2 linked regions of the Arabidopsis thaliana genome follow. The protein of the gene in region 1 purifies or fractionates together with the protein of each later gene. This does not show direct contact. Each region holds a gene or a part of one and is shown in the gene's direction. Other genes may lie near its edges.

Evidence for each region.
Region 2: the proteins of AT5G15750 (region 1) and AT4G28450 fractionate together in Arabidopsis thaliana (co-fractionation; one large-scale study listed by BioGRID). This does not show direct contact.

What each region holds. Positions count from the first base shown.
Region 1 is NC_003076.8:5,139,080-5,143,545, forward strand, and holds AT5G15750 (Alpha-L RNA-binding motif/Ribosomal protein S4 family protein), read left to right. Parts: upstream 1-1,955; 5' UTR 1,956-2,199; intron 2,200-2,358; 5' UTR 2,359-2,369; coding exon 2,370-2,503; intron 2,504-2,624; coding exon 2,625-2,732; intron 2,733-3,211; coding exon 3,212-3,286; intron 3,287-3,390; coding exon 3,391-3,622; 3' UTR 3,623-3,811; downstream 3,812-4,466. Other genes in the region: PSRP3/2 (Ribosomal protein PSRP-3/Ycf65), read left to right, coding at 4,021-4,287.
Region 2 is NC_003075.7:14,060,632-14,066,343, reverse strand, and holds AT4G28450 (WD repeat and SOF domain-containing protein 1), read left to right. Parts: upstream 1-1,635; 5' UTR 1,636-1,761; coding exon 1,762-1,827; intron 1,828-1,909; coding exon 1,910-1,999; intron 2,000-2,087; coding exon 2,088-2,199; intron 2,200-2,285; coding exon 2,286-2,313; intron 2,314-2,428; coding exon 2,429-2,527; intron 2,528-2,607; coding exon 2,608-2,677; intron 2,678-2,758; coding exon 2,759-2,793; intron 2,794-2,880; coding exon 2,881-2,955; intron 2,956-3,041; coding exon 3,042-3,137; intron 3,138-3,238; coding exon 3,239-3,302; intron 3,303-3,406; coding exon 3,407-3,460; intron 3,461-3,563; coding exon 3,564-3,649; intron 3,650-3,746; coding exon 3,747-3,872; intron 3,873-3,986; coding exon 3,987-4,092; intron 4,093-4,262; coding exon 4,263-4,351; intron 4,352-4,457; coding exon 4,458-4,620; 3' UTR 4,621-4,941; downstream 4,942-5,712. Other genes in the region: AT4G28460 (uncharacterized protein), read right to left, coding at 43-261; AT4G28440 (Nucleic acid-binding, OB-fold-like protein), read right to left, coding at 5,374-5,567.

The sequences.
Region 1 (4,466 bases):
TTTCAGTAGTCTCTCTAGAAATATACAAGTTTTTTTAATGTACCTCTAAATATTTTAAAATCAAGAAAATCAATCTAGATATGGTTCTTTATAAGAAAGTACACAAGCCAACAAACACTCGTAGTCTCGTAGATGTTTTTATCAAGTATATATATATACATTCATTATACTATTTTCAAATCGTTGGTAAATCAACTGATAATTTTTTTTTCCTATCCATTATATATAAAACAAATATAAATATGTCGCCTATTACATCATAAAATTTGAGGAAGTAAAAAAAAAATTGAAATTTCAAACCTATCAACTAAATTTTCTGATTTAACAGATTTAATTTATTTTTATTTTTTTAGTTTAAAAAAACTCATTCATTAAACATGTGAAAGTGACTAACCACGATGTCTAGCTGTAGCGGCAGTTTAATAAAGCTTTAAGCAATGATCTCGCTCGCCGGCCAAGTTTAGAAACAATGAAAGATCAAATTGAATGATTTGTTTTCTTTTGTCATTCGTGAAGACAATTTAAAAAGATACACGTGTAGATGTGAGGTTATGAACAGGTTATTGTTTTAAAACACAGCATTATATCAGCCAATATATATCAATATATAGACGATGTTCGGTCCAAAAATCTAGATCAATCTCCTTCATGTTTGCTATTCGAAAATGATTGTTATTTATATCAAATCGTGCGTGTAACATCGATTGATAAATATTGGAAATTTAAGTAAAGGCCAATTGTCACGTAATGACTTGAAAGCATCTCCAATGTAATTCAGTATTTATTTCTTTTCACTTGACGATAGAAGAATTTGATTAGAGATGAGTTACTTATTGAGCGAATTAATGTACGTTATTTTCTATGACCATATACATTCCACCGACATCGGACATTACACTGCTGTCGGAACTTAATGATTTATTTTTCTAAATACGAATACATTTCTCCAATGGAAAAAATCTAAGAGTTTTAAGATTTTTCTATAACTGTAATTGTCATTTCAACGAAGAGTTTAAGAAGAAAACAGAGAGAAAAGCGTGTAAATATCTGTAGTTTTAATCAAATGGGTCATTTCTATTTCAGTCTATATATTTAATCAAAATTGCAATTCACAAATTTTAATGCTTACGTATTTTAAGTAACATTAAATGAACATCTTCGTCCTAAAAGTTACTTGATATTAATAGAAAGGTAAAGTAACAGAACAAAGCATTAACGATATATTTATATTTCAAAACTTACACACAAGTATTCAGAATTAAGAAAAGAACAAAACAAATAAAGGAGACGTTTCTGCGATTATGTTTTTGCTTGAAATAGAACAAACAAACACGTATTGGTAAAGAAACCAATAACTTTGAAGATAGCTTAAACGCAAAATATATAGTGAAAAAAGGGAAATCAACAATTATTATATATCCCCACGAAACTCGGTGTCGGTGGCTCAATCATCTTAACACTCTAAACTTTTAAGCCCATTCGTGCGCATGCGTGTATGTATATACGTGTGCATTGGATTTGAAATTTTGGTCGTTATCGAGAGTTCTAGTAGATTATGCATTTTGTGTAACAAGTGTAATATAATTGGGACCCTTTATTACTTTCTATAAAACTTAATTCTTTTAACCTATAGATCACCCGTTTGTCAATTATATCAATCAAGGGTCCCTTATTAGCTGCATTTTCCGATCGATAATAGAGAAGATCATCCAATGCTTTACAATCACTTCCATGCGACCTCACATACAATTACTTCCATTGCATAGTATGTAGTAAAACTATATATTTTGCTTCCAATGGATTTGATGCTTGTTTATGCTTAGAACTTCCAAATAATCTTTTTTAACGTAGCGAATTGATTTTGCATTCAAAGCACCCTTAGTAAATCCGTTTCCTAGTCTAGTCCCATAATTAAGGTAAAATCTACATGGGCTTCTCAGGCCCATAATGAGAAGTTTAAAAGGCTCAACTCAACAAGATTTAGTTATGCTAAGGCCTTACAAGTTACAATCAAACAGAGGATAGGGACCGTCGGATTTATCTGACTTCCTCTCCTTCGATTAGGGTTTCTGAATTACTACTCCTCTGCCAATTAGGGTTTAAGCCTCTCCAGCATTTTCTTTCAGCTCAAACCCAAGAACCTCATCGCCGATTATTTCTTCATCCTTACTCTATCCCGCGCCGATTAATCTCTCTCAGGTAAACTACTTCAATTTTACTCATAGACTAATTGTACAGAGATTGATAAATCCTATGTTGTTCCCATTAGAATGTTCAAGGGTTTATGATTATTCAGGATTTCAAATCTGAATTATTGGACAAATAAACCCTAATTTCGTATAATTTGCATATCATCAGTACCGTCCGAGATGAGAAAGCTCAAGTATCACGAGAAGAAGCTTATAAAGAAAGTAAATTTCTTAGAATGGAAAAGAGAAGGTAACCATCGGGAAAACGAGATTACGTATCGATACCACATGGGCTCTCGTGATGATTACAAAAAGTTGGTACCTTTATTTGCTCTTAAAGCTCTGTTCTACTTATTCTTCTTCTTCTGGTTCGAGTGTTTTGTGATGAACAATGGTCTTTTTCTGATTCTTGAGAATGTTTTTTCTTTTGGGCAGGTATTCAGGATTGTGTAGGATGGTGCAGAAACTGACGAATATAATGAAACAAATGGATCCAGCAGATCCTTTTCGTATTCAGATGACTGATATGCTTTTGGAGAAGCTGTGAGTTTTTTAAATATATATACCAGTTTGTTCAAGTATAGAGCTTATTACAAGCAATGGTTCTTTGTTTTCTCTAGATTTAGGTCGTAGAACATGAGACTTGATCATTTTCTGCAGTTTTTTACACCGATCTTATCTTAGAGACCTCCTGTTGTTTTTCTTGTTAACCACTTTTAGAGATAATTAAAATTGGGGGTCCTTATGCTTCTATATAGATTTTAGGACCGTTGGTTTGAAATCCATTAGAGGTTGAATTCATCCTGGTAAAATGTGTGATCTAATGGGTTTCTTTCAGAATCTGTTTCTTGAATAGCTTCTACATAGAGCTAAGTTACTATATAATATAGGCTTATTGTATAGGGAAAAAGAGCCATCCTACTGAAACTTGTTGATTGCGTAGTTCCACTCTGCAATGAGAAAACTTGTTCTCTTAATGGCTGACTGACTTGTGTTTCTTACATGTACGCTTGAAACGGCAGATATAACATGGGTGTTATACCGACTAGGAAAAGCTTGACTCTAACTGAGCGGTTATCAGTTTCATCCTTCTGTAGGTAAGAGTATATGCAAGAGCCTATATAGGCAGTTACTTAAACCCTTGATAGCCAAATGTTCTCATTTCGTTTGCCTCATATCGGTTCTTTTTTTTTATTTGCAGGCGTAGGCTATCTACTGTGCTGGTTCACCTGAAGTTTGCAGAGCACCACAAAGAAGCTGTGACATACATAGAGCAAGGACACGTTCGTGTAGGACCAGAAACAATTACTGATCCAGCTTTCTTAGTAACTCGGAACATGGAAGATTTCATCACTTGGGTTGATTCATCCAAGATTAAACGAAAGGTTCTTGAGTACAATGACACATTGGATGATTATGACATGCTTGCTTAGCTTTGAGGAAGTTAAAAAAGACTGATGTTTTGTAAAAGCCAAAAAAGGTTCACTGCTACTACTATTGCAGGGTTTGTTTGGATTTTTGAATATGCAAATGTGCTACTATTCCCTTGTCTTTAATCTTACTTTCGATCTATTTGCAAGAAGAAACTTGAAAACAAATGTCATGAAAATATTGAATCTAACTCATATTATCGTCAAATTGTATAAGTTGGAGCCACAGAAATGGATGAACATAAAATATTAAATCTAATTATTATTTGACACTTCAAATTACAAAACCCGTTTGATTCGATCCGACCCGACCCGACCAGAAAATCGCAAAACCTGTGTTTTTGCTTTCCCCGGTCTCTCAAAATAAAATTGCTCGCTTAGAAGCTTCAAACGCAGCTGAAATGGCGGTTCAAGCAAATCAGAGTGCTTCTTTTGGGTTCAGAACAGCTTCACCTTCTCAGAAGCTCTCTTCGAAACCCATAGCTCATATCTCTCTATCGACGAAGCTCAAACCCTCTTCTCGACCATCGCTTTCGTGCTCTACTTGGAATCAGGGTCAAATTCCGGCGAGACACTCCTGTATCAATCCCGGAATATTCGCATATCCCCCCTCCAATCTTACCTTCTCTCATGAACTACCAGAATCTGAATCTCCGCCACTTGGAAAGGTCAGTCATCGTCAAAAAACTTCTCTTGGAACAAATTGGGGTTATAAGCTTGTTAGACAAAGTTGCAGCCTTTTTTTGTCATTTGAACGAAAATGTGGTAAACCAAATGTATTGTCTCCATCTATTTAATTGTGGTAGAAGAGGCAGTGTGTGCTAGTGTTAAACCTCCCTTATGTTGC
Region 2 (5,712 bases), on another chromosome or scaffold:
TAATCTCCTCCGGCCAGGAAAAAAAAAGTAAAAAAGGAAAATTTAATGGCCGCGACCTCTTGGACTTGGACCCGACGCCAAACGCTGAAACCAAGAATCCACCGTCGATTTCATCTTCTCCACCGTCATAGTCGCACTTCCATCTCCCGATTTTTCAGTAAGAACCCTCCCCGCCGCAGCCGGAACCACCACGTGTTCTACGAAAAACAACGACACCATCACAACCACAATCAAAACAGTAGACCAACTAACTCTTCTCATCGTATTTTACTTTCTCTTCTTTATGTTGTACCGACAAGTAATAAAATAAAACAGAAGCCTTTTTTTTGTTTGATATCAAAGAAAATTAAGAGATATGGTTATGTGGGAAATCAAATAAATGAGAGGGAATATTTATAGTTATTTGACGAGGAAGCGGTCATGACTTGAGAGAGTTCATCACTTAGGTCGGGTTTTCCCGGCGCTAGCTCACGATTTTGCGTGTTGACCAAGTATTATGACTTGAACGGGTCGCTCTTATGACACTTTACGATGTGCCAAATTACATTTATACCCATTTTGGTGGTTTTTAGTTTTTTAGAGGTAAAAAATAATCAATGAGAATTTTGTTAACGAAATTATATTTACACATAAATTTTTTAAAAACAAGTGTTTTATTCGAAAAACTAATTGATGCAATTTTATCAAGATGTTTACGCGGTACCAATGATTAATTTATACTAGATCATTTGATAGCAATTGTATCTTTCAAAGATACAATTCTTATTTAAGCTATTTATTTTAATAGAATCACATATCAATAAAATATTTCAAGAAATTTCGCAATATATCATAGGCATAATTTCGTTCTGAAAAGTCTTATATGAAATTTGAAACTTAACGCGTAAGTTACCATTGACTAAATAAAAGTACCGTAGGAGGACCAATTCACAGTTTCACTTAAATAATTCTCTTGTCAGTGTAGTTTGAGTGGACAATAATCCATTATGAGTTAATGAAAAAGGTTGAAATGTAAGATAAAATTACGTATCAACTGCGTTAGTAGGTATATAAGTAGTTAGAGAACAAAGTAAAGTGTTTGGTAGGTGGTTTTTTCCTATTTGAATACTTGAAAAGCTTGTGTGAGTTTGTTGCTAAATAGTATAAAATGTATACAAGCATATGAGTGTTCTTTGAATTCAACTATATTTTAAAGGACTGTTTAATTATAAGAAACCTTAAAATTCAAAACACGAGAATCTTGACTTGTCCAAATTTGAAGAATAGTCTTGTATTAACCAACTTTACTAGTAAAAGTCCAACGGTAATGATATTGTATTCAAAGTCATGCATTTTAGGTAACCAGAGAATTCTTCAGAGTTTTGTTTACAATAACATCTTCGGATTGGATCAAAACAGATTTAAATAGTTTGAATCAATTATTTGTTATCGGCCGTACTCGAATTCATGATTTTAAAGAACTCAACTCCTTGATAAATTATTAAACACTAACCTTGTAAATGTCCCGCATTTTGTAACAGAAAAACTTAAACTCGAGCAAGTTTTGCAATAGTAACTTTTGGGCCAATTATAATAAATTATAAAAAGCCCATTAAGGACTAAATATTTTTAAGTTAGGCCCATCTCAGATTCGTCACCTCTCCCAAAACCTCTCATCTAGGGTTTTTCTGTCTGGAGAACTTAGCTCACTTTTGACTCTGTATCTCTCTGTGTCTCTCTTCCCCGTTAGTCTTCGTCGTGACCTTTTTGTAGTATTAAGCAATGAAGATTAAGACGTTATCAAGATCGGTTGATGAATACACTCGAGAAAGAAGTCAGGATCTTCAGGTAATTTTTGCATATCCAATTCGTTTCCCATATCACAAAATTTAGCTTTAGACTATCAATAACATTATCAATTCGTTTCCAGAGGGTCTTTCACAACTTCGACCCAAGTCTTCGACCTATGGAGAAGGCCGTGGAATACCAGAGAGCTCTTACAGCTGCCAAATTAGAAAAGGTGTGCTCTTGAGTTTCAATTTTGATTGTCTGTGTTGTTTAGTTATGGAGCAGTCCCCAAATTTGGCTCTGTTTTTGTTTTTCTGTAGATATTTGCAAGGCCGTTTGTTGGAGCAATGGATGGTCATCGTGATGGAGTCTCATGTATGGCGAAGAACCCAAATTACCTCAAAGGAATCTTCTCTGCTTCTATGGATGGAGGTAATTATCTAATGGCATATTTATGTAAGCTGGTTGTTTGTATCCATTGATGTTACTGATACTATGTATCGTTTTCTTCTCTGCAGATATTCGCCTTTGGGATATCTCTTCAAGGTTAAAATCTTGAAAACGAAATCCCCTCTGAATTAATTTGAACTTCATTTAGTATTAAAGGCTTTGCTTTGTGCTGTGCTTTTGGTAAATGAATTCTGGAACTTGAAACATGCAGGCGTACAGTTTGCCAATTCCCTGGTCATCAAGGTGCTGTGCGTGGTCTTACTGCATCAACCGATGGAAATGTATTGGTTTCATGCGGAACTGATTGCACGTAAGATATAATAACAATTTATTGTTCCAGTCGGTGATCAGATTTTTGGCTGTTAAACTAAGGTTAATGGATTTGTGCAGTGTTCGTTTGTGGAATGTTCCTCGTCCTTCACTTGAAGATTCTAGCATTTCATCTGAGAATTTCATTGAGGTAGTTCTTTCAATATTGTATTATCTGGAGCTTTCTCTTGCTGGTATATAACTACAAGCTTTTAACAAACTATTTTTTCAGCCATCTGCAACCTATGTCTGGAAGAATGCTTTCTGGTAGACTTCGTACACACTCTTTATGCGATTTCTCATGATTCTGTTGGTACAAAAAACTTGAGTTACTAAGCTTTTTGTCATTTCTAGGGCTGTTGATCATCAGTTTGAAGGTGACCTTTTTGCTACGGCCGGAGCTCAACTTGATATATGGAATCATAATAGGTACTCAGGCTCCTGCTAAAAGAAATCTTTGGTGTTTGTTTTAATTTTACGTAAGCAGGGCTTATGGTTTTACTTTTTGTAATTAGGTCTCAGCCAGTTCAGAGTTTCCAGTGGGGAACTGACTCTGTAATATCTGTTCGGTTTAATCCTGGAGAGCCTAATTTATTGGCTACATCAGCTAGGTATATTCTTTCTACTTTATACTTGTATATGTCATGTAATTGTCTGTGCTACACCTTCCAGAGCTTTCTCTAACACTGTAAGGGGATATCTCTTCTTCCAGTGACCGGAGCATAACCATATATGATCTCCGCTTGTCTTCTGCGGCAAGGAAAATTATCATGATGGTATAGTTGAAACTTTTTTACATATTCTCGTCATATTTAATCATTAATACCCTTCAAACTAAACAATTGCAACCGTGGTCTGCTAATTGCTTTTCTTTTGGCAGACAAAAACAAATTCAATTGCATGGAACCCCATGGAGCCTATGAACCTGACAGCTGTAAGTGATAATCATAAAGTGAATTTTTCTGTGATGGGCTATGCTAAATCAGCGTTTGTCTTTTGCTTATGTGCTAATTTTATCCCATGGGGAAACTGAATAGGCTAATGAAGATGGAAGTTGCTATAGCTTTGATGGTAGAAAGTTGGACGAAGCCAAGTGCGTGCATAAAGATCATGTTTCTGCAGTGTAAGAATGAAGAATGATTTATCTCAAGTATCAGCTATAATATTTAACAAGATATCATCCAAATGCATTATGATTATCTAATTTCATCATTTTTCAGGATGGATATTGACTTTTCACCGACTGGTCGTGAGTTTGTTACGGGTTCTTATGATCGATCTGTGAGAATCTTCCCATACAATGGAGGACACAGCAGGGAAATCTACCATACAAAGAGGATGCAGAGGTACAATCTACTGAACAGTCTATATATACTTCAAGTTCAGATGTTCTAGTGTACCACCTTGGTAATTTGATTTAGTCTAAGCAATTTCTAAATTTCATTTCTTTTTTCTTGTAGAGTATTCTGTGTCAAATATAGCTGTGATGCTACATATGTAATATCGGGCAGTGATGACACCAATCTCAGGCTATGGAAGGCAAAGGCATCAGAGCAATTGGGAGTTGTAAGATTCTGTGAATTTATACAAAATAAAGACCAAAAAAGAGTTACCACAGGCTTAGCAGTTGATCCAATAGTGCATATGATTATGAGATATTACTCGTACATGCTTTCTTAAGAAGTTTTAACTTGGAACGGTGAATTGTCAATGTTAATTGGTGTGTTGTGCTGCAGATTCTTCCAAGGGAACAAAAGAAGCATGAGTACAACGAGGCTGTGAAGAACCGGTACAAGCATCTTTCTGAGGTTAAGCGCATTGTGAGGTAAATGACCAATGAAAACTGTGGTTTTATCCCATGCTTTAACTCTGGAGATTGTCAAAAGATAACTATAGTAACATGGTAACGTTTTGGTTATTGTGAATTACAGACACAGGCACTTGCCAAAACCAATATACAAAGCGATGGGTATCATTCGAACTGTGAACGATTCGAAGAGAAGAAAAGAAGCACGAAGGAAAGCTCACAGTGCTCCAGGAACAGTGGTCACAGCACCTCTGCGCAAAAGAAAGATCATCAAAGAAGTGGAGTGACTCTACTCTTTCTCCGTTTGTTCCTTTCAAGGATGATGATACGTGGAGAGGATTGTATTGGTATAGTGAGGGTAAGATTAGGAACATGAACATTTTTGCTGTGTTGTAAGCCTTTCTTTATGCCATTAAGTTATTACCCATTTCGTTTTCTTTTTTCTCTTCACTACGTATTGTGTTCATTAACTATTCGTTTTTGGTGTTACAAAGCTGATCTTCAAAGTAACATTCTGATTTCAAAGATTTATAAAGTTTGGAATTAGACCGACTTAACTAGACAATGGTTCTATGATCCGTCGATGAATTTTATGCACTTACAATTTGTCTTAACAATGACATTAATCAAGGATGAGATGCTTTCGATGTAAAAAGTTGGGCAAAACTCTCTGTAACCGAGAGGGTACAATAGTGTACATCAAATAGTAATTAATGAAAAAACAAAGACATTAGTAAAGTTTAAGAAAGAAAAACTTATTTTTACTGTATTAGATAGTGCACAAGCAAGCTCTCAATGGTCTTTAACTTACATCAACACAAATTAAAAGGAACAATTGCATTACGCCATTACCGCAGGCTCAATAGTTCTCCAGAGCAAGATCATGACCGCATATTTTAGGGTAAAAAAGAAGAAGCATATTCCTACAAGCAACTCTGGACCAGTCATACAATCTTCATCATCTAAATCAAAGACCTTCACGGTAGAAAAATCAGAACCCAACACTCTCAGGGGTTAACCTCCATAAACATACTAAAAGATCACTGATCACCACCAACATTGATCAGTTCATACTCAACGAGAGACAGATTGTTATCCTCCTTGACAGTGAAAGACGCGGCTCCAGTGGCTTCGATGCGTCCCCATTTATCAACTCCTAGCCTCATTGTACCCTTGAACATGTCTATCCTTGAATTGCGCAGTATCACCGTAGCACCCGGCTTCATAAGATCAACTATACACACACACACACACACAAAAAAAACCAATAACATCATTAGAGCTAATCAGTAGCCACATCAATTGCACGAAAACTGGTATAACAAAACTTCACATTATGAAAAGCTATGAAAGTTTTGGGATAATGTAGACCATTCAAT